Linked DNA regions of Canis lupus familiaris. The protein of the gene in region 1 purifies or fractionates together with the protein of each later gene. This does not show direct contact. Links are inferred from orthologs where the notes say so. Each region holds a gene or a part of one and is shown on either strand. Other genes may lie near its edges. The genes, in order: ZNHIT2, ECD and TSSC4.

Evidence for each region.
Region 2: the proteins of ZNHIT2 (region 1) and ECD purify together in Homo sapiens (affinity purification with mass spectrometry; 3 studies listed by BioGRID and IntAct, counting the BioPlex papers as one, with this or other methods). This does not show direct contact. The link is inferred for Canis lupus familiaris from reciprocal best matches to the Homo sapiens genes ZNHIT2 and ECD.
Region 3: the proteins of ZNHIT2 (region 1) and TSSC4 purify together in Homo sapiens (affinity purification with mass spectrometry; 3 studies listed by BioGRID and IntAct, counting the BioPlex papers as one, with this or other methods). This does not show direct contact. The link is inferred for Canis lupus familiaris from reciprocal best matches to the Homo sapiens genes ZNHIT2 and TSSC4.

What each region holds. Positions count from the first base shown.
Region 1 is NC_049239.1:52,579,476-52,587,059, reverse strand, and holds ZNHIT2 (zinc finger HIT domain-containing protein 2), read right to left. Parts: upstream 3,231-7,584; 5' UTR 3,165-3,230; coding exon 1,971-3,164; 3' UTR 1,928-1,970; downstream 1-1,927. Other genes in the region: delta(14)-sterol reductase TM7SF2, read left to right, coding at 262-381, 469-637, 868-948, 1,033-1,155, 1,429-1,589; FAU (ubiquitin-like protein fubi and ribosomal protein S30), read right to left, coding at 6,865-6,990, 7,215-7,270. UniProt on the Homo sapiens protein: May act as a bridging factor mediating the interaction between the R2TP/Prefoldin-like (R2TP/PFDL) complex and U5 small nuclear ribonucleoprotein (U5 snRNP).
Region 2 is NC_049225.1:24,456,388-24,464,193, forward strand, and holds part of ECD (protein ecdysoneless homolog), read right to left. Parts: intron 2,161-7,806; coding exon 2,054-2,160; intron 1,923-2,053; coding exon 1,739-1,922; intron 428-1,738; coding exon 360-427; intron 1-359. UniProt on the Homo sapiens protein: Regulator of p53/TP53 stability and function. Inhibits MDM2-mediated degradation of p53/TP53 possibly by cooperating in part with TXNIP. May be involved transcriptional regulation. In vitro has intrinsic transactivation activity enhanced by EP300.
Region 3 is NC_049239.1:46,927,067-46,935,387, reverse strand, and holds TSSC4 (protein TSSC4), read right to left. Parts: upstream 4,486-8,321; 5' UTR 4,198-4,485; intron 3,472-4,197; 5' UTR 3,368-3,471; intron 3,198-3,367; 5' UTR 3,178-3,197; coding exon 2,215-3,177; 3' UTR 1,953-2,214; downstream 1-1,952. Other genes in the region: TRPM5 (transient receptor potential cation channel subfamily M member 5), read left to right, coding at 47-119, 396-450, 737-843; CD81 antigen, read right to left, coding at 6,778-6,840, 6,922-7,008, 7,499-7,600, 8,015-8,119. UniProt on the Homo sapiens protein: Protein associated with the U5 snRNP, during its maturation and its post-splicing recycling and which is required for spliceosomal tri-snRNP complex assembly in the nucleus.

The DNA.
Region 1 (7,584 bases):
CTCAAGCCTAAAATGTCCAGTGGCTTTCTATGTTGCTCTCCCCAAAGGAACATTACTGGACAAGGCAAGAGCCAACAGGAGGTTGCACCTCTGGAAGCATCTGTTGGTCTTTGTACAGGGGCTGGATCCATTCAATAAAGGGCCCAGGACTTGGTGACTGAGAACCAAGACAGATAAGCCACTGCCCCATCTAGGTGCTGCCACCTCTGTGGAGATAGGCTGGGGACAGACTGCCCTGTCCTCCCTCTCCCACAACCCCAGGTCCTCATCAACCTGGCCATGCTGATGCAGGAAGCAGAACTTCGGGGGAGTCCCTCACTGGCCATGTGGCTGGTCAATGGCTTCCAGCTACTCTATGTGGGTGATGCTCTCTGGCATGAGGTGAGGCTGGATGGGGTGAAGAGGCAGGGAGGGTGTTTGAGGACCTCATGGGGACTAAGCTAGTGTTTCTGGGTCTCATCCCTGCAGGAAGCTGTTCTCACCACCATGGACATCACACATGATGGGTTTGGCTTCATGCTGGCCTTTGGGGACCTAGCCTGGGTACCCTTCACTTACAGCCTGCAGGCCCAATTCCTGCTGCACCACCCACAGCCCCTGGGGTTGCCTGTGGCCTCAGTCATCTGCCTCATCAATGGTCAGTCATGAAGGGGCTCCTACCCCTTTCATTCATTCATGTTGTTTATTCAGTACCCGGTAGGTACTAAGCCTCAGGCATTTCCTTAAGAAGGGGTGGAGGTGTGTGGGGGGCGGGGAGGACTGGGTCCTGGGTCTCCAGGCCAACTGAATCTGGGCTGTGGGTGGATGGTCAGTCAGGTAGTAGGCTAAAAACCTTAACCCTGACCACTTGTTCACGCTTTCCCTTAGCTGTTGGTTACTACATCTTCCGAGGAGCTAATTCCCAGAAGAACACCTTCCGAAAGAATCCTTCTGACCCCAGAGTGGCTGGTGAGCTGGGTTTCTAGGGTGCTACGAGGTGGTGCAGCAGGGCTTCCTACAGGTTCCCTCATCCCATTACCTGTCTTTCCTCAGACCTTGAGACCATCCCCACAGCCACCGGGCGACAGCTGCTGGTGTCTGGGTGGTGGGGTATGGTCCGCCATCCCAACTACCTTGGAGACCTCATCATGGCTCTGGCCTGGTCCTTGCCTTGTGGTGAGTGGCATGGGTGGGCACAGAACAGGGACCACGTCAGGGACAGAGGTGGTGATCACAGGATGCTCAGTCTGGGTGTGGAATGGAGAACAGGGATACACCCTAGTAGAGGGAGCAGTCAGGAGGCTGGGAATGGACTGCGTAGCTGTGCCAGCACCTTGCTGCAGAGCTGGACCTTTCACCACAGCCCCAATGTCCTATGAGCCATTAGATGTGGAAGTCTTTGTGAACTGGAGGGGCTGCTGAGCGATCACAGCCTCTACTTCCCCACAGGAGTGTCTCACCTGCTACCCTACTTCTACCTCCTCTACTTCACGGCACTACTGGTACACCGTGAGGCTCGGGATGAGCAGCAGTGCCTGCAGAAGTATGGCCTGGCCTGGCATGAATACTGTCGGCGTGTGCCTTACCGAATCCTGCCCTACATCTACTGAAGCAGCTCCACTCACCCCAGACTGGGGCATGTGCACTCAGCACCAGGAGACTGGACTCCTACCCTGCTCCAAGCTCCAACAAGCAGGGATGAACAGCCCGGGAGAGGTGCTCTGGAGCAAGGAGAAATGAAGCCAGTGCCCAAAAATGGAGTGGAGGGGCTGTTCTTTCTCCTTGGATAAACATCTAGAAACCATGGTACCACTTCCCTCCCTTTCTGGGGCCAGGGCGTTTAAAACTTTCTAGGTAAGCTCTGATCCAGGAAAAGCTGAAGTGGTCTATGGGCCCAAGAGTCTGGGGGTGGGGTGGGCAAGAGCTGTTCCTCAGAAACAGGCACTGCTGACAGGGAAGACCAGCTTTATTAATGACAAAGAGATCCCAGTTCAGCCAGGGAGCTCCTCAATGAGAATTCTTGGAGCAGGTGGCAGGGGTCCTCCCCAAAGCTGCTCCAACTCCTCGGTGAGGGCTACCACCTCCTCGGCCGCCACAGCATGGGCTCGATGGGCCCTTGCACAATCTAGAGCCAGGGATGTGAGGGCCGCCTCATTTTCATTGCTCCAAGCCAGCAGGAACTGGCACTTCTTCCGCGCCCGATAGAGGCGATCTCGCTCTTCCGTAGCCACAGCTTGCTTCCGGGCCTGGCTCAGGGTCTGTGCCAGGTGCCCCAGGGCTGCCAGCGTGTAGCCTTTCCGGTTGGCGGGGCTTTCACCCATCAGGATGCGGGCGGCTTCGCGTATGGCACCCCGTGTGCCCAGGGGCCCAGGCGGATGCTCGCCCGCTTCCAGCACCTGGGCTGCGGCCTGCAGGGCTTCCTCAGCAGAGGCGAAGACCTGCTGCGCACCCAGGGCTCCGGAAACGCCGAGCAGTGTGGCACAGAAGTCAGAGAGCAGTGCTTCGTCGCCGCCGTGATACAAGACGAGAGTGTGCGCATAGGCGAACAGCACGTTGGGCAGCTGGAAGCGCACGAGCGGCGAGGCCCGGCCGCGGCTCAGACTGGCCAGCACGGGGATCCGGGTGGGCACGGCGGGCGCGCAGGCCTCGGGAGGGTCTTCGAGAAACGGCTCAGCGGCGGCCTCCTTCACGGGTTCCGGGGGCGTCCTCGCGGGGGTGGGCTCCAGCTCCGCAGGGTCACGGTCCGCAGCATCACCCACCTCCTCCAGAAGCCGCGGCCCAGCCCCGCGGCCCCACCACCACGGCCTCCATGGGGGCAGCAGCCGCCCGGCCTCGCCACGATTCAGCAGCCGCTCGAAGGCCACCTTCTCTGCCGGGGCCAGTAGCTCCCAGAGTCTGGAGGGCCCGCCTGGCGCCGGGCCAGGCCTGAGGCCTGCGTCCTCGGGGTCGTCCTCGGTCTCGCGTTGCCGACGCAGCCGGCGTAGGGCGCTGGCCAGACGGCTGGGCGAGGCGCTGCGGCCGCGAAGCTCGCCCAGCACCTGGTCCCGGTAGAAGTCTTCGGCGCAGGTGCCATGCGCCCGGTAGCAGCGCAGGGAGCAGTAGGGCACATTACAGCGAGGACAGGTGTAGCGCGCGGGCTGGGCCTCCCCGGCCGGGCAAAAACCGCACGGCCCGGCCGGCTCCATGGCAACGGGCGCCCCGCGCCGCTTACGAACGCTCTCAGGCCGCGCGGGGCAACTTCCGGCGCTAACCGGCTACTTCCGCCTCCGGGCAAGGCCGACGGGGCGTGGTCAAAGCCCCCGAGGACTCTCGGCAACTTCCGCCCCTGCTCGGTGGCCAAGCCCCACCCCTCTATCTAGTAGCGCTCGAGCCGGCGCCGGCGTGGGTCGAGGGGGCTGGTGCGCAGCCGGAGCTCCGCTGGTGCCCGCCCGCCCCCCAGTGGCTCCTTTTTGAGCGCTATAAAACGCCCTTGGGGAGTCGATCTTCGTGAGGCCCTACTCGGGCCACTAATTGCGCAGGGCCCTGGGGAAGGAGGCGTGTTGAGCTGAGGGGCAGCCGTTCTCCTACGGGACAGAGACCAGTAAAGCGAGATGTAGAAATAGGGTGAATATGGACTACGTGGCCGAGACTCTGTTTTTGGAGGTGTTTCCCCTCTTGAGAAGAAAGAACAGGTAACTGAGCTCCTGTTTGGTTTCCCCTCCAAATCCATGGTTCATCCGACCTTTATTTTTTTTAAAGATGTTATTTATTTATTTGTTTGTTTATTTATTTATTTATGAGAGACAGATACGGGGGGGCGGGGGAGAAGCAGGCTCCATGCAGGGAGCCCGACGTGGGACTAGATCCCGGGTCTCCAGGATCACGCCCTGGGCTGAAGGCGGCGCTAAACCGCTGAGCCAGCCCGGCTGCCCCGGTTCATCCGACTTTTAGTACCGAATCCATGCTATGTGCCAAAACACGAGGAGCAGAGATGGGATCCCTCGCCTGATGGAACTTCGTTTGAGGCCTTGATCCATGGCACCCGGGGAAGTGAGCTCTGGTTCTTTAGTCCCTCACATCTAGTCCTGTGGAGGCCGAGAAAATTAGGGCCATTCAAGTTTAACATTGGCACAAGTACAGCCATTGCACCTTGGGCAGCCATCTCAGGCCACTGTGACCAGGTACTGAACTCTACCCCAGCTACAGAAAAAAACCACAAAGCATGCCCTTATCAGAATAAGGAAGCAAGGGATCCCTGGGTGGCGCAGCGGTTTGGCGCCTGCCTTTGGCCCAGGGCGCGATCCTGGAGACCCGGGATTGAATCCCACGTCGGGCTCCCGGTGCATGGGGCCTGCTTCTCGCTCTGCCTGTGTCTCTGCCTCTCTCTCTCTCTCTCTGATGACTATCATAAATACATAAAAATTAAAAAAAAAAAAAAAGAATAAGGAAGCAAGAGCTTGTGAGACCTCTTTACTGGAGATTCTCACACCCCCACCCTTACTGAAACCCCCCCCCTTACCCCTAGACCAGCCCATAGAAACCCAGCTGTAACCCACCTCAGGGTCCAAGTCCCTGCTTCACTGTGTCAGGTATACTTGGACCCAAGCTCAAGCTTGTTAATAAACCCTTATGTGCTTGCATCCGTGTCAGCTCCTTGGTGGTTTTCTCGGATTCACAATCTTGGGCACAACAGTCCCATCCCAGTAAGTTCGACCTTCATAATACCTTGTCGTTATTTCTACATGGATCATCTATTTATCAAGATCTGGATGGAGATCCCTGGGTGGCACAGCGGTTTAGCGCCTGCCTTTGGCCCAGGGCACGATCCTGGAGACCCAGGATCGAATCCCACGTTGGGCTCCCGGTGCTTGGAGCCTGCTTCTCCCTCTGCCTAGGTCTCTGCCTCTCTCTCTCTCTGTGTGACTATCATAAATAAATAAAAGTTAAAAAAAAAAAAAAGATCTGGATGGATTTGATGACCTTCAAGTCCCTTCATTTTCTACATCCCCATTACCAGTCTCAGCTACTAGTCCCTTAACTGGCTCCCTTTCTTGCCAGCTGTTCAGAAAAATCAGCCACAAATTGGATCACCAGTCAGATCACATGATCACATCAGGCCCTGGCTTAAACCCTTCCCTGTACTTGGTAACTCTTCATTGCACTTGGACTCAGACCTGAACTCCTCCTCTCCATGTCTGATGAACCACACAGCTCTGCACACAGTCCCCTGGGCTGGACCTCTTCCATTATCTGATAGGTTTCAGGCCTCATACACCCCAGATTCAGAGGCCTTCCCTAGGATGTCTGTCCAACTCCACAGTCCCTTTCATTGTACCACCATTAATATTTCAATCTTTTTTTTTTTTTTAATTCACGACATAGAGAGGCAGAGAGACAGGCAGAGGGAGAAGCAGGCTCCATGCAGGGAACCGGATGTGGGACTTAACCCCGGGTCTCCAGGATCAAACCCCAGGCTGAAGGCAGCGCTAAACTGCTGGGCCACTGGGGCTGCCCACCAGGTCTCTTTTTAAAAAGATTACTAGAGATAAAAATAGGCTATATGTTTGCACATTTGCTAGCTGGAGGATTCTGAATCTAAGCCCTTCATATCTTTTATTCTTCACAGCAACTCTCAAGCTGTGATGGCAGAAATCAAGTAAGTTGTTTAAGGTCAGAAAATCAGAAGGAAGGATTCAAATTCAAGGCAGTCCAAGCCCGGATCTAAGGTCTTTACTTATGTTACACTGTATTTCAAGAATCAGCAGCATAAAAAATTTAGCAAAATGAGAGGAGATCCATGTTACTAGGGGAACCTCACGAGTCCCAGAGAATTCCACTCCCAGAACACTCAACTAACCAACCCACCATCCTAAGCTGTGATTAGGTTAAGGAAGCTAGCTAGTCAGGTGGAGGTACAAACAAGCTTAGTGTTAACATAATCAGGCAGGCAACATTCTAGAGACTACTTTTAGGCAACAGGCTTGAGCAATGGAAGCCCGGATAAGGTAGAAGGGCCCATAGTGACCACCGGGCCAAAATAGGCCCATTAGCAATCCACATCACCATAGCCCTAGCTGACCAATGAGCTGCTTACAAGGGATAGCTACTAAAAGTTCCACACATTCCCCTAACTCCACCCCTCTCCCTTAACTACAGGCCATCCCACTGCCTCCTGGCAGAAAGTCTCTCCTTTGACGCCACCACCCAGGGATCCCCCCCCCTCCAGAGTATTCAACCTGTGTATTTCTTTTGTTCTGCCCTAGGCAAACTCTTTTAGGGCTGGCACTGGCCTCTACCCAATAGGGTTGGCCCACACTTTCCCAAATAGGTACAGACTAGATCCCTGCCCTGGACTCCATTAAAGTCATAGCTGGTCTCAAGTTCAGGAAAGGTCAGATTAGCCTTCCCTGATAGGTCTTTTTACTCAAACTCCTCTACTGATGTCTTCATAATCCTCCTGAGAATTGTTATTGTCTGTTTAAAGAACAAGAACAGGGTGCCTGGGCAGCTCAGTTGTTTAAACGTCTTACTCTGGGTTTCAGCTCAGATCTTGAGATGGAACTGTGTCCAACCCCATGCTCAGATGGGGGTCTGCTTTTAGATTTTCTTCCTCTGCCCCTCCCTCAAGTAAATATATCTTTAAGTTACTATCTTTGGATTACCAATTCTCATGGTAAGCCTTTTCTTATGGAGTTTATCATTTCTTCTCCATCCTAGCCAAGAGCCCCTGCATCTTCCAACTTGACAGTGGCAAGAATTAAGATTCAGGCCTCAATGTTCTAATGAACACACCAGCCCTAGAAACCGTGTATCTGTGTATCTTCCTGAGGCTCTGCGTGTGAAGATGAAACAATGAGATGACTGAACCAAGTGGCTTTATTGGGGAGAGCCAGGATTACAACGGACTTAAGAGTTGGCATTGGGGCCCTTCTTCTTGCCAAAGGTGGGCACAACATTGACAAAGCGTCGGTTGTACTGCATTCGTCGCTTGGCTCGGCCTGTCTTCTTCTTCTTTTTCTCCTGTTTGGCCACCTGGGAAAAGGGAGGGATGATCAAACCTTGGCTGACCTTTCATGCATTCCCTCAGTCTTAATTCTAGAGGGAGAAGGCAGACTGAGGAAAGACCAAAGGTCTTGCTTGGCTTAGCTTTGATTTAAAACAAAATGCATAAAAACCCCTCACAAATAAACAAAACACAACAACAACAACAACAACAAAACCCAAAGTCTAAACACCCCGCTAATACTTTCACCTACCTTGGGAGTCTGCCCTCTTACTTTCCCAGCACGGGCCAGGGAACCATGGACTTTACCTGGGGTGGGAACAGTCAAAGGACAGTTAGGAGTGCAAGAAGGACCCGCCCGGCAGAATCCTGTCTTCCTCAACTCAAGTCTTTAAAGAAACCAGACCAACAAGGAATGAGAACAAAGTTGTAGAGATATAACCTCTGGCCGAGAGTGTTTTCTATGGTACATTCCAAGGTTTCAGTTCAGGATCTTCAAGCCCCTGACTTTAAACACAAGAAGTGAAAAACACTTCCAGGAATCTAGTCTGACTTGATTTTTGTGAGAAAACAGGGTAAGTAACTGAAATAAAACTACACTCTGGCTCAGTCTCCCAAGGACC
Region 2 (7,806 bases), on another chromosome or scaffold:
AAATAAATACATAAAATCTTTTAAAAAATTGGGCTATTTGTCTTTTTATTATTAGTGTTAAGTACAGTAAGTTTAAAAGAGAAAAAACAGTATAACATGGAACCCAAGGCAAAACCATATCTAGCCACAGCATTCACTCACTCAACAAATATTCAATGAGCAGCTAGTATGTTAGGCACTGAGCTAAGCATCCTCTGCAAAATCATTCAACTGGGCAGAAGTTTATGATTGAAAGCAATTCAAAATCATGAGGCAAAAGCAAATACTCTGACTTCAAGAGATCCAATGCTCCAGTGCTCTAGCAACAGCTTTGCTATTTACCATTTCAAAATGAAAATAAACATCACAATGTAACTTACCTAAAATTTTGTCAAAATAATTAAGAAAAGAATCTGCATCAAAAGTGATTGGAGCCTCAGAAGGTTCTCTGTAAGATTAAAGGAAAAAATCATTTATCTTGAATACAACTCTCTGGCACTTTTTTTTTTTTTTAAGGCAGTGCCATTCTTAGGAACACTACCATAGATATGATCTCAAAATAAGTGGAGCAAGAAAAACTGTAGTTTAAATGGTCTTGCAAAGCAAAAGAAATGGGAAAGACTGATAAATAAAAGTAAAAATTTCACTTTGTTTATGCATATTTAACTTATGCTGATTCAGGGACCTACCCACCCTGCACTTCCCACAAGATACACACACACACACACACACACACACACACACATACACACACACACACCATCAGCAGGCGAAATCACATATCTGAGTTAATTTTAAGAAAGTCTATTTGTTTAAGAACTAAACTTTTAAAAGTAAGAACATACTTTCTCTTATCTCTGCTTTTTCTTTTTTTAAAAGCTGGCTCCACACTGAGTGTGGAGGCTTGAACTCACAACCCTGAGATCAAGACCTGAGCTGAAATAGAGTTGGACACTTGGGCAGCCTGGGTGGCTCAGTGGTTTAGCGCCGCCTTTAGTCCTGGAGACCCGGGATCAACTCCCACGTCGGGCTCCCTACATGGAGCCTGCTTCTTCCTCTGCCTGTGTCTCTGCCTCTCTCTCTCTCTCTCTGTGTGTGTGTCTCATGAATAAATAAATTAAAATCTTTATTAAAAAAAAAAAGAGTTGGACACTTAACTGATTGAGCCACCCAGGCGTCCCCTTACCCAATCTCTTTTCTTAAAGAGAGAATACAGAATATAAATTTTAATCTTATGAGGCTCAAGAGCATCAACACGAATAAAGATATATTTGCTGTTTAAGTGACAATTCCATCTACCTTACTTTTCTATTACTTGCCAAATGTAACTTCCCATTTCTTCTGTTATTATTTCTTCTCTGATGAGCTCTTTAATCTCCCTCTTTTGAATATGAAACTTCCAATCTGCTTGTGGGGTGGGAGATTGGAAGTGTGGATTTGCTGAGAGCTAGATGTTAGGAGTCCGTAAGATTCTGAGTAAAAGTTTAAAGAGTAAAATGTACGATTTCCTTGCACAGCTCTGGGATGGAAGCTTTTAGATCTGTTGAGTAGTCTGACTTACTTTAAGAATTGCAAAGAATCAGGCTATTAGAAATACAACTCCAGATAACTCATCATGGTATTAGGCACCAAAAGAAGAAACACAGAAGTACAAATCATTTACTGAAAAGAAAAATAAAAGAGTGGAAATGGCAATGACTAGATGACTTCAACACCTGCATTCTAGCTACTTAGATATTTATATTCTAACACAAATTACCGAGGCAGCTCTGCTCCTTTGTGGGTTGAGACTTTGGATATGAAAGCTTTCATACTTTCTGAGACTTGATTTAAGTCATAGTTCTGTTCTTCCTTCTTGGAAGTGGGCTCTGCTTCTTTTTTGCCAGCAACTTCCTGCAGTAGTTGGTCCAGTTGATCTGGTGAGAGATCCAACCACTGGTCATCTGAAAAAGAAGAAAACATGATGCTGCCATACCAAATTCGCATGTCAAGTATTCTCAGAGAAGTGCCCTGTAGACTTAGTGGAATATTTTCATTTTCCCTAATCCTAACTCTATCCTGGTCCATCACTTACCATCTTCTGGGGGAAGATTAGCTTCTTCCTTCTTAAGCTCTTCTATATCAAATGGCATGGTCTGTAATAAGGTTAAGATTTCTTCACCTGGGCTCATAGCAAGACAGCTATAAAAAAAAAAAAAAGACATAGGGATTTTTTCATAAGACAGTGCTGAATAATAGTCACAAAAAAATAGTATTTTAAGGCTGGGAGGAATTATCTAATTAATTTGTTTTTAAACAATTGTTTTAGGTTACAGACCCCTTTTTCTCAAATAAAATTTTACCAGGAACTCTAAAATATAAAAAGAGCTCAAAGAAAACCGCTTTGTACAGCAAAGGAAATCATCAAACTGAAAAGGTAACCTACTGAATGGGAGAAAATGTTTGCAAAATCATACATCTGATGAAGGGTTAATATCCAAAATATATAAAGAACTCACACAACTCGATAGTAAAAAACAATCTGATTTAAAAATGGGCAGAGGGGGCAGCCCCGGTGGCTCAGTGGTTTAGCGCCGCCTGCAGCCCAGGGTGTGATCCTGGAGACCCTGGATCGAGTCCCACGTCAGGCTCCCTGCATGAAGCCTGCTTCTCCCTCTGCCTGTGTCTCTGCCTCTCTCTGTCTCCTCTCTGTGTATTCTCATGAATAAATAAAATCTTAAAAAAAAAATAAAAAATAAAAAAAATAAAAATGGGCAGAGGACCTGAATAAATATTTTTCCAAAGATGTACAAATGGTCAACAGGTACATGAAAAGGCACTCAACATCACTAATTATCAGGAAATACAGATCAAAATCACAATGAGATACGACCTCACTTCACACCAGTCAGAATGGCTATTACCAAAAAGATAAGCGAGTTGGTAAGGATGTGGAGAAAAGGGAATCCTCATGCACTGTTGGTGGGAATGTAAATTGGTGCAACCGCTATGAAAAACAGTATGGAGGTTTCTTAAAAAATTAAAAATAGAATTACCATACGATCCAGCAATTCTGCTTTTGGGTATATATTAAAGGAAATGAAAAAGGAATATTGAAGAGATACCTGCAATTCCCTTTACTGCAGCATTACTCACAACAGCTAAGATACTGAAAACCACCTCGTGAGTGTTTATCAATGGTTGACTGGATAAAGGAGATGTGCTATATTAAATAAAAGGTAATATTATCTAGAGAAATACGTATGTGAAAGAAGGAAATACTGTTATTTGTGAAATGGATTGAACTTGAGGGCATTATGCTAATGGAATAAACCAAATAGAGAATGATAAATACCACATGGTATCACACATATGTGGAATCTCAAAAATAAAATAAAGCTCATAGAGACAGTAGAAAAGTAGTTGAGAGGGACTAAGGAGTGAGGAAAATAAGGAGAGGTTGGTAAAAAGGTACAAAGTTTCTAAATACCTCTAAGGATCTAATTTAAAGCATGGTGACTATAGTTGATAACACTGTATCATATAATTGAAATCTGCTCAGAGAGTAGAACTTAAATGTTCTCATTGCCCACCATAAAGATAAATATGAGAGGTGATGGAACTGCCAATTAACTAGATCCCTCCATGTGTACATATATCAAGTCACCATGATGTACACTTTAAATATTTTATGATTTTGTTCCTCAATTATATCTCAATAAAACTGAAAAAGAAAAACTGCTAAGACTGAAATGGAGTATGGAGGTTCAGAGATGTATCCACCAGTTACATGTATCCATGTAACCTTTGGTTCTGCAGGAGGCCATATGGAACACCAGTCATAGAGCTGGACCAAATGCTGTGAAGAGTCACAGGAGAAAGTAATTAATCATATTAATTACAGAAAAGTTTAAAAAAAATGATAAAGACCATGGAAGTAGTTGAGTTAGGCCTTAAAGAATGGGGTAGGGGCTGCCTGGGTGACTCTGTCAGTTAAGCAACCAACTCTTTTTTTTTTTTTTTTTTTTTAAGATTTTATTTATTTATTCACGAGAGACACACACAGAGAGGCAGAGACACAGGCAGAGGGAGAAGCAGGCTCCATGCCGAGAGCCCGATGCGGAACTCGATCCCGGGACTCCAGGATCACACCCTGGGCCAAAGGCAGGCGCTAAACCGCTGAGCCACCTAGGCGTCCCAAGTGTCCAAACTCTTGATTTCAGCTCAGGTTATGATCTGTGTCATGAGATTGAGCCCTGCACTCAGTGGGGAGTCAGCTTGAGATTCTCTCTCCCTCTCCCTCTACCCCTCCCCCTGCTCACACACCCTCTCCCTTTCTCTTTAAGTAAATAAATCTTAAAAAACAAACAAACAAAAAGAACGGGGAAGATTTTGACAAATAAGACAGGGTAGAAGAACTTCAGGCAAAGGGGGAAATGAGCATCTGTAATAAAAGCAAAGAAGTACAGAGTGTGTTCACAAAGCAAATGTTCAGTTTGGCATAAGCATGGAGGATGAGCTGAACAGATGGACTGGGATGAGAGCACAGTGAGCCTGAAATGGCTAAGTTTGGACTCAATGAAATAAGCCGTGGGTGATCACTGATGGCTTCTTTTTTATTTTTAATTTTTGTTTTAAGAGATTTAAATAATATAGACAAGTCCAAAAGACACAGAAAAAAAAAGATTATATAACAAATGATCATATCCCTACTACCTAGAATTATATTGTTATACTTACTTCTAGTCTAAAGGTATGACTGATTACCCTTATATATTTAGCATAAAAAATTAAACAAATGATATATATGACTATAGTTACAGCTAATATTTTTCCTTTGATAACCAACACTATCAGTTCTAATCCATTTCATTACTGCCCAGAGGTGACTGCTCTTGCAAATATCCTTCTGGTCCATTGAGTGCACACACATGTATTTATGTTGTGTTTGCTGTTTGTTCTCTTTCTCTGGAATTTTATTCCTTCAGATACCTGTACGCCTCATTCCCTCACTTCATTTATATCCCTTCTCAAACAGAATCTCAGACATCATAGTGGCACCTGGGTGGCTCAGTTGGGTAAGGGACGGACTCTTGGTCTTAGCTCAGGTCATGATCTCAGCGTCATGAAGCTGAGCCTCACATCAGGCTCCACACTCAGCAGAGTCTGCTTATGGATTCTCTCTCTTCCTCTCCCCCTCTTTCCTTTTGTGCTCTCTAAATCAATCAATCAATCAATCAATCAATCTTTAGAATAGCAGCCTGTTCATCCCTCTCCTCATATACTGTTTTTACTTCAAAGCACTTATCACCATCTAACATCTATTGTCTTTCTCCTATACTAGCATATAAGCTTCATAAGGCAGGGAGACTCCCGGTTCACCTGTTATATCCCCAGTGCCTGGAATTGGGGAGATACATACATAAGAGATACTCAACAAATATTTGTTGAATGAATGGATATATACATATCCATAAATAACATATGGCATTTTGTGTACTAAACATTTTTATATGTATAACATCCATACTCTACATATTTACAACTTGCTTTTTTCACTCAACATCATGTTTTCAAAATCTATTTATTTAGATCAGTGGTTTTCAACTGGGGATAATTTTGCTCCCAGAGGACATCTGGCAATGTCTGGTGATATTTTTGGTTGTCACAATTGGAGGTGGTGTGGAGTGCTACTGGCATTTACTGGGTAGAAGTGAGGGATGTTGCTAAATATCCTATAATGCACAGAACAGTTCTCCACAACAAAGAATTATCTGATCCAAAATGTCAACAGTGCCAAGGTTGAGAAATCCTGGATTAGATTTACGTACATTTAGCTAATCTCTGGTTAACTAATGGATAGTAGTCCATCATACAAATACATTGCAATTCATTTATCTACTATCGATGGATACTTACGTTGTTCAATTTTTCATTGTTACAATCTCTAATAATTTTTAGGAAAGGGATTAAAGATGTTTGAAGATATATTTCAGGCATATTCTCCTGGCTCTAATGGTTGCTTTGGAAGAGAAGAGTCATTAGAGGTTAGGAAACAAGTGTAGGTATTGCCATAATTCAAGAAGTAAGAAAAAAAAAAAAAGAAAAAGAAGTAATTAGAGTAAGTGGGTGGTAAAAAAAGAAAAATGCAAGATACAACATGATAATAAAAAGGATCAAGGGACTGGATACAAGGAGAGCCAGGGAGTCTAGGTGACAAGAAGTGGGAAACAGTCTATGATATTAATCCAGGTACTTAAAAAACAACAATAACAACACTGGGAATTCAAGAATAGGTTTTGGTGGGAGATGTGAGTTTGGTTTTAAACTGTTGAGAAGTTTTCCTTGTTTGAGGAATGGGAGTCTCTTTTGCAACACTATTTAAAATGCTGGCCATGTAAGTTACTTATAATTCTTTCTCCAGTAGTAAAAATGTGGTAAGTTATGATACATCAATTTGCTGAAATGTTGTGGAGCTCTTTAAAATTATGCTTATAAAGACCTTTTAATGTCATGGGGAAAAGTAAGATTATAATGAGTAAAAATTAGGGACAGAACACAAATTTTTATATAGTATAAAAATGTTTTAAAAATAACTAGATGGATATGGGGGGCAGAATCCTGGAAGGCAATAGATAAAAATGGTAATAGTGGTTGACTCTCTGGTATAAATTTTTTCCTTATTACATCTTTCTGTATTTGCTATAATGAATGAATGTGCTACTTTTATAACAACAAACGTCATTATTTTAAAAAAGCTACCCAGCCACCAATCTATCTTGTTTTGTGCAAGCCCTAACTAATATATGAGTCTGTCTAATTTCTTAACATTTCTTTAACCCAGGTCTGTAAGGTAACTTCTCCACAGGCAGAGTGGCCCTTTCAGGCAGATGGGAATCGTCTGGGGGAGATTCTTCTAACCATGAGGGGCCACCTATTTTACTCCCCTCTCTTTCCCATGTTTTCTGAAATGATACCCTAAGAATGAATTCTCTTTTTATCACCAATTACTGCCATAAAACTGATGGGAATGGGACAAAGGCATACACAGACACTCCTGAAAGAAAGGACTGCTGTAAAGTCATTATTATCTCATAGACAACTGAGGCTAGAGTTCTCTCAGTATCAACTTTGCTTCATCAGTCCTCAAAGAACATAAATAAGTGACGTCTGAGACATAAGCAAAATGACTGGAGGTCAAGACCAGTAAGTTTTACTTGGAAAAAAAAAATAGCCCAATAACAAAATGAAAAACACACACAACTTGGGACCTTTTAAATGTAATACATACAAAACTATTCTTTCATGTTATTCAATAGCTTTGAGTATCTCATTCAATTTTGCTAACATCAATTGCATTTTTTTCAATATTCAAAATGTGACCTTTGATTCCTGAGCTTAGTAGGACTGAAGCTTTCTACTAGAGCTCTATTTTTTAAATATTTTATTTATTTATTTATTTATTTATTTATTTATTTATTTATTTATTTATTCATTCATTCATTCATTCATTCATTCATTCATTCATGAGAGACCGAGAGAGAGAGAGAGAGAGAGAGAGAGAGAGAGAGAGAGGCAGAGACACAGGCAGAGGGAGAAACAGGCTCCACGCAGGGAGCACAACGTGGGACTCGATCCCGGGTCTCCAGGATCAGGCCCTGGGCTGAACACAGTGCTAAACTGCTGAGCCACCTGGGCTGCCCTAGAGCTCTATTTTTCCCTTGGCGCTGCACGGTCAGGGGGGATAATGTGGACCTTATCCATTGTGATCTTCTTCTTTAAAGGTCCTATTTCCTTCAATTTTTGCCTTATTTTGTTGTTTTATTGTCTTCAAATAATTGTTCCTTA
Region 3 (8,321 bases), about 5.7 Mb from region 1:
ATTGCCCAAATGGAGAGCACCCCATGCCAACCAGCTTCTGCTACAGGGTGGACTCTGTAGCCCAGTACCTCGGGGGCCTGAGAGAGCAAGAAAAGCGCATCAAGCGTTTGGAGTCACAGGTAGGCAGGCCAACCTCATGCTCCTCTGACCTGGGGCCCTCACCCATAGCCCTGCACCCCAACTAACAGGTCCACAGTCAGGCTTGGACTCAGGAGGCAGTGTAGGGAGAGTCCCTGGGGGGTGCAGGAGCTGTACCTGCCCCCGTTAAGTGATCCCTCACTGTCCACACCTGCAGCCTTGCTCTCACGCCCATTCCCTCGAGTACAGACCCCAAAGGGGAGGGTCATAGGCTAGCAGGGGCCCCGGGGATTCCCTGGATGTTCTCCCTCCTCTAGATCAACTACTGTACGGTGCTCCTGTCCTCCATGGCCCCGAGCAGCACCTCCTGGAGTAAGTGTGTGTCCGGAGAAGACAGGGCTGCGGGAGGGGCACAGGCTTGCCTGGGGGCAGGCAGAAGCCTGTTAAGCTCTGCTGTGTCATCTGCCTTTCTGTTCCGCAAGGGGACTGGCCCAGGCCTCTGATGGCCCTTGGTGGGAGGTGGTCTTTAGGGTGGGGCAGGTGCCCTCTGCCAAAGCCCACCACCTCAGCCAGGCGTGACGCCGTGGCCACTCAGACTCCCTTCCCTGGGCCTACCCCCCTGGACACCCAGCAGCTAGGGGTCCTTCTTCCTCACCAGACTCCCAGAACTTCAAAGGTGGACACCAGCAGGCCTCTGCTGACCACAGAGGGGGTGCAGACAGCAGGAAGCACCCAGAGGCTGGCCGGCCGCTCTCAGACACCTGAGCTACTTGGACTCCTGGCACACAGGGCCCACCTCTCCCCGAGCCCCAGATCAGGATGGGCAGGCAGGGTCTTGGCCCTTAGCTGGCCATCCCAAGGCCCTATGGACACACCAACCTTCCCCTACCTCTAGTGCAGCCCTCAGTGGGATGTAGCTCTCAGCCTTGTCAAAAGAAACCACCCCTTGCCCTGCCGGGTACCCTCTCCACCTGGAAGCACGGTGGTGTATGGTAGGCCCTCCTCCAGACTGGTGGAACCTGTGGGCCCCTACCCAAAACTGCCCAGCTCAGGCCAAAGCACTTATCTGGTGGGCAAATTTTGGGGCCTGTACCTGTCTCCTATCAGACCCATGTTGCCTGTTAAAAGACTCATTTTTTTTTTTTTAAACACTAGCAGCTACAACTTCTGCTCTTTAGGACCTGGGGTCAGGGGTTTCCTACACACACTGGTTCCCACCCCTGCACACCCTCAACTGCTCACGTGGCAAATGCTATCCTGAGAAAACCTGCCGTGTGTGTGTGTGTGTGTGTGTGTGTGTGTGTGTGTTGGGGAGGGGGGTAGGGGCTGGCTCCTGTGCTTGCCCGAGCTACATCCTGGGACAGGATGGCTTAACTCTGCTAGGTCCTGCCACCAGGACCAAGGGAGACATCTGTGTCTGGTCTGCCTTCCCGGACACCCTCAGGGGTCCATGCACCCCAACCCAAGGTTGGGCCAGTCACACCACCAGTGCCCCTGCACACGGCTCAGCTGTTCTGGCGATGTGACCAGGACACTGGTCATCATCACACATGGCCCGGATGAGGAAGTCCCTGACCCCACTCACATTCCGGCCTCCTGGAGACCCATCTCATCACCCTGTTGGGAGCAGAAGCTGGACACCTGGGACTGTGAGGTTGCCCCCTCGAGGGCCTGGGGCCTTCTCCACCTCTTGCTCTGGATCAGGAGAGCTGGAAAGAGGGCCTGCTGGTGAACCCAGGCAAGCATTTAAAAAGCCTCCATGCCCACTGGAGATTAAGTTGAAGAGGCTCAAATGAGAGAACCGGGTGTTGGGTGTACAGCATGGCAGACAATGGCCCGAGGCGCAGGATCTACACAAACACACACACACAAAGTCTAAGCAACACCCAAAACCTTTACTGTGGCCCCACAGGCATGTGGTGGGCCAGGGTCTTTGCTGTCCACTGGCAAGCTGTCTGCTTCAGAGACCACTATCCCGAGCCCTAGCCCAGGCTGCTGGCGCCTCACACTGGCAGACCGCTGGCTCCCTTTCCAGGGCGGGGGGCCCCAAGCTCCACTCCACTCCAAGTGGCCAGTGACCCCGGCTGCCCTCCTCCACCGCATGGTCAGGAAACGCCAGCCAGGCAGTCTCTTCTCTCAAATCTCTGCACCTGGGGCCTCAGGTGTGTTGTTCTTGTTCCGGAAATGGTCCCTGCTCCGCTTCCTGCTACCATGGAAGCCAACAGTCTCCACCACTGGGGGCCCCACCGCTGACCTAGCATGGGCAGCCCCCTGTGGCACGTCCACTTCCTGTAGCCCCCCGTGGGGGCTGTTCTCTTCCTCAGCCTCTGGGCTCCCAGGCCCTGCCAGGTGGGCCAGCTCCACAGGGCCCTCGCCCCCTGCTGCTCCCAGGTCCCCAGGGGCACCCCTGCCTGACTCTCCTGCCTTCCTCAGGGCCCTCTTCCTCTCAGGCCTGGCCTCGCCAGCTCGGGCCGGTTTGGTGAAGATGACTCTTCCCTCCCCACAGCTGGAGGGATCCTGGTTGAAGGACGGCATGTAGTCTCTGGGGCCAGCCAGGCTCTGGGAGCTCAGGAAGGCCAGGGCGGCAGCCTGATTGCTCTGCTCACTGACCTCGGCTACGTTTTCCAGGCTGTACTTGGTCCAGCGCTCAGGGTGGGCCATGTAGTCAGGGATGGGGGGCAACTTCGTGGGGGCAGGGCTCTGACTGGCCCTGCCCGGGCCCTCTCCTGGACGCTGGTGTGAGGATGCTGGTGGCTGCATGAAATCCCCATGGTCACCCGGGTCTTGCCTGGCTGCGTCCTCCAGGCAGTCAAAGATGTTGCGGCTGCGCCAGGAGAAGGTGGAGCTCGTGCCTCTCAGGTGGAAGGGCTGTACTGAGGCTGTGGGGAGGCCTTTTGGAGGCAAAGGGGTCTCATCGGGGTCTGAGTCCCCCTGGGCCTCCCCAGATAGCACCCCCGGGGGCAGAGCTTCCATCTCAGTACCGCCAGGCAAGCTGAAATCGGAGTCCGAGTCACTGAGAGAGACGGTGTCGGAAGGCAGAGCGTCATCCTCTGTTCCTCGCTCGGCTTCCAGGGGCTCTCCTACCCCTACCTCAGACATGTGTCCCAGGGCCACCACACCTAGACCAGAACAGCCCAAAGAGTTCGTTTCTGAGGATTGCACCCATTTAGGACGGGCCCCTCCTATAAACCCACAGTCCCTGGGCAGGCGGCAGGGCCAGAAGGAAGAGCTATGTCCTACCAAACAAAGGACAGAGATTCCCACACCCGCCCCCCCCTCAACGTCTCACCTCCGTTGTCTGATGAACGTCTGTGCAGACACCAGAATTCTGGTGGGTGAAGTCCCGGCAAAGGCGCCCGGTGGCCTCAGTCCCGGCTCCGCTTAGCTGCTCAACTGTAGCGGGCAGAAGGTGGGAAGGGCAAATCGTCAGGGAGCACCAGGGCAAAGCGGTACCGCGACCCCCAGGGGGCGGTCCTGGGTTTCCGGGGCCCAGGCCCAGGCCGGCCTGGACGCAGACCCTTCGGGAAGATCTTCATTCAGCCCTCTTGAGCTAAGTCTAGGGGCCCGCTGGGGGTTAGGCAGGCAGCAGCCAGGGCCCAGCCCGGGGGCAGCAGCAGGCTCTGCGCTCCACGACGGCGCTCGACCAGGCGGCCCGTCCACGAGCTGCTCGGCACAGCTGCGCCACCTGCCTGGGCAAGGCAAGGGCTGCCCCTGCCTGCCCAGACGCCCCGGGACTCCACGCGGGTCTGCAGCCGGGGCCTCCGCGTCTGACCGTCAGGCCCGCGGGGAAGTGGGGGGTCAGCGGCCGCCCGGGGCATCCTTGCGGGCAGGGCAAGCCCGCGGCTCCGGCAGCAGCCTCTCCTGGCACGTCCCCGCGAGGGAAGGAGCTCCGGAGGGCGGGGCGCCGCCGCGACCTGGGGGGGCGGCCGGGCCGGCGGGCGCCCCGGGGTCGGGCACAGCGCCCCGCGACAGCGAGCGGCCGCGGCGGCTCCCGGGCTTCTCCGCGGAGGCCGGCGGCTCGGCCGGGGCAGGGCTGGGGCGCGCTCGGCCGCCCGTGGAAGCCGGCGCCGGCTGTCTCCGCCCCGGCGGGGGCCTGGCCGCACGCGGGCCGCGGCTCACCAGGCTCGGGGAGCCACCAAAGACGCGAAACACCTCGGGGATGTGGGGCGAGGAGGCTGCGAAAAGGCGACCTCTCTCCCGCGCCACAAGCCTACCGGCTCAAAGCCGCCGGGCCGCCTCCATCTTTCGCCGCGCTCGGCCTCCTGGGAAACCGAGTCTTCCGCCGGCCCGGCGCCTCGGCGTCCGCACCTGAAGAACTACACCTCCCACAAGGCACCGGGACGCTACTCCCGAGGCCTGTCGGGTCCCGTAGCCCCTGCGCATGCGTCCTCGCTTTTCTCCCTAGCCTCCCCCCTCCCCGGAAACGTCGGCTCTCCTTCGCGCAAAGAGCCGGAATTGAGGAGGGAAAGGAGGAGGAGGAAGAGGCAGCACTGCGACTCCCAGAATGCTCCAGGACTAACGGCCAGCGCCGCGTTCCCGGGGCCCCAGCGCCGCCTGCTGGAAGTCGCGAGCACAGCGGCCGCCTCAGGCCGGAAGTGCATCGTCGCACGCGGCATCGTCGCCGGGTGCTTCCGGTCAGGCCGGAAGTGCGGGCCGCCCGCTCGTGGGTCGGGGGAGGGGGAGGGGGAGGGGGTGGGGGGGGGCCGGGTTCCGTCTGAGCGCTCGGCTCGCGGTCCCGACGGCCCGGCCGGTGCTGCCCACCTGACGGCCGGTCTGGCCGCGTCTCTCGGGGCCGCGGTCCTGGAGTGCTCGGGAAGCCCGCGGACCCCTCGTTTCCGGGGCCGCCCAGCATGGCCTGCGGCAGCACCGGGCAGCTAGGTCGGGATGCCCCAGCCCCCCAGCCCCGCCTGCAGCTGCAGTGTGCCGCTGTGCGAGGATGCCCCAGGGACCCCGCCCTCCTGGGGGCCCCCCAGCCCCGCCAGCAGCTGCAGTGTGCAGCTGTGCGAGGGCGCCCCAGGGACCCGCCCTCCTGGGGGCGCCCCAGCCTCACCTGCAGCTGCAGTGTGCCGCTGTGCCAGGGCGCCCCAGGGACCCGCCCTCCTGGGGGCCCCCCAGCCCCGCCTGCAGCTGCAGTGTGCCACTGTGTGAGGATGCCCCAGGGACCTGCCCTCCTGGGGGCCCCCCAGCCCCGCCTGCAGCTGCAGTGTGCTGCTGTGCGAGGGCGCCCCAGGGACCCGCCCTCCTGGGGGCCCCCCAGCCCCACCTGCAGCTGCAGTGTGCTGCTGTGTGAGGATGCCCCAGGGACCTGCCCTCCTGGGGGCCCCCCAGCCCCCCAGCCCCGCCTGCAGCTGCAGTGTGCCGCTGTGCGAGGGCGCCCCAGGGAACCGCCCTCCTGGGGGCGCCCCCAGTCTCGGTCTCCCCAGCACAGACTGGCTGTGCTGTGCCTGCAGGCCAGGATCCCCAGGGTCGTGCAGGGGCAAGTAAGCAGGGCTGCTCCTTGGGCCACTCTGTTCTCTCAGGGACCCACCCTGGCACACAAGGTGGAGGGGTGTGGCAGGAGGGGCAGACCTCACTGAGACCTGATGACCCCAAAAGTAGGGCTGGGGCCAGTTTCCAAAACAAGCGCCAAGGGAGGCAGCTGTCAGCCCTCCACATGAATCCCAGCCAGGCCCTCATGGCCTCAAGGGGCCAGTTCAGCATACACCAGGTCAGTGCCTGCACTCAGCTCATGGTGACATCACCCAGCACTCCCGAGGGGGTGGGGGTGGGAGGAGGCAGCTGGGCCCCGGTCCAGGACGGGGGTGGGTCGGGTGGACTCCGCACACAGTGGCTGAGACCTTGCTCCCCAGCTTCTCCACGGAACACCTAGAAGCTCTGAAGAGTCCCTTCGGAGCATGGGAGGGTCAGTGTGCCTGTCCTCTACAGAGCGGGCCCCCAGGATGGAGGGGAGTCTTGCAGGCTCTACGCCACATTACCTGAGTGCCCCCTCTGGGCAGTGGTGTCCACAGAGTGGGTAGGGGAGTGAGCTGGGTGGAAGCTGCTGACGGTGGCACCGGGCCCACCAAAGGGGCCCCTCACACCCTGCAAGGTCCGCGGAGCTGAGCCAAGCCTCACCCATGCCGGCCCACCTGCCGCTCCAGCTGCGCCCTGGGTCTCAGACGCCGCAGCCACAGGAAGGGGCCAGACAGTTTGTTAGCATGCCCGGTTTTTCCTTCTTTATTGAATGACTTTGAAGATGTAATTACAGCTGAAGGTGACGAGTTAGAGAGGACAGGTGCACTGAAGGTGAAGGCTGCTGGCAGACCCGGCTCGGGACAAGTGGCGACAGGAACGAGGGTTAAAAGGCATGAGCCGTGCAGCCCGTGGGCAGGTGGGTGGGCCCCGGGGCCCCCGGGCCCCCGGGAGAGGCCTGACTAAGCAGGCGGAGCCCCCAAGCAGCTGCAGAAGCAGAGCGGCCCCTGCCTCACGGTCCCCAAGGCCCACTCACACGCCGTCTCTAGGTGACTTCAGCCCCAAAAGGTAACGGGGGACTTCAGGACAGAAAACCTCAGAAGTAAAAAGGCTAATAAGTGTAGCAGAGTAATACCAGAGAAGTTATATACACAGGCGCTGACGGCCCCTCCTCAGAATGTCCGGTCACTCTAGGGGCCCTGCAGGGTTCCCAGCGGCCCTCCCCGCAGCAGGTGCAGCCGGGGCCGCTCAGTACACGGAGCTGTTCCGGATGCCGCAGCAGAGCACCATGCTCAGGATCATCTCGAAGATCTGTGGGGACGGGTGGGTGGGACTGTCAGCACCCGGAGACTGTGGGGCCGCCTCACGCGGATGCCTGGCCCGTGTACTCACCATGATCACGGCCACCACGATGGCTGCAATGCCAATGAGGTACAGCTTCCCCGAGAAGAGGTCATCGATCTTCTGGTGGCAGTCCTCCTGTGGGGGACAGCCCGCCGACGGTCAGGAGTGCAGGCCCTCGGGCCCCTCAGTGCAGCGGCTCGGGGTCATTGTGGCAAGAGAAGGGAGGGGCTCGATTCCCTGAAGACGTGCCACCAGGGCCTGGTCTCTGCCAGGTTATCTCACGTCCATTTTAAAGCAGATGTGGAGGGGGCGCCTGGGAGGCTCAGCGGGTGAAGCATCTGTCTTGGGTTCAGGGCAGGTCCCGGGTTCTGGGATCAATCCCCATGTTGGGCTCCCTGCTTAGCAGGGAGTCTGCTTCTCCCTCTGCCCCTCCTCCTGCTCGTGTTCTCTCTCTCTCTCTCTCTCTCCCTCTCCCTCTCGCTCACTCTCTCTCTCAAAATGTTTAAAATAAATAAAGCAGATGTGGAAACGGAAGGTGCTGTGTGCAGAGCCAGGGGCCCAACCCAGCTGGGCTGCTGGACGCGACGTGGGGCCAACCCTGGGCGGCCCAGTGGGCTCCATGTACCTTGAACAAGTTGCTAATGACGTTGCTGCCAGAGGGACACAGGCTGTTCTTGAGCATGGAGGTGGTGAGCGCGGAGAGCGTGCTGGAGCCACAGCAGTTGAGCTGCACGGAGGACACCTGCGGTCAGCCCGGGCCGTGTGCACAGAGGACCACAGGGACACGGCCAGGGACATACACCCCGTGGGCTGCCCAAGCCCCAGGGGTGTCCCCAGCCAGGGAGGGTCTGCTCCTCAAGAAGAACAGCCCAGGACTCCTCATCCCCTCCACCCTTGGCTGTGCTGCTCAGAGACCCCCACACCCAGGCCTTCCTACTGCCCATCTGGCTCACACAGGGGACCTGCAGGTCCCAGACAATCCCCTGGGCGGGGGGGGGGGGGGGGTCCCAGATAGGGCTCCACGGCCCTCCAGGAGAAGGGCTTCCAGGTCTCCAGTGCCCCACGGAGACCAGATTCAACCCCAGCCAGGCCTCACTCACGGAGGACAACCCTCCTGCACCCCCAGCACCCCCTGCCGCACCGTCTCATGGAAGGTCTTCACCACGGCCTTGGCATTGTTGGCTTCGTCGTCCACCACGGCCTGCTGCAGAGCCTGGTCGTAGAATTGCTTCACATCCTTGGCGATCTGGGGGGAGGGTGTGCGGGAGGGCCGAGGTCACCCCACAGCAAGGACCACCCCAGAGAGGGGGGCAAGCGGTTCACCTGGCTCTCTTGAGAAGATAATGCTTCCAGGGTAGACCAGGATTGCCCCCCATCACCACTCGAGGCTGGGAGACAGGTGGCCCTGCCTTCTCCTCAGCCCCCGCGCCACCTCCTCCAGAAAGCCC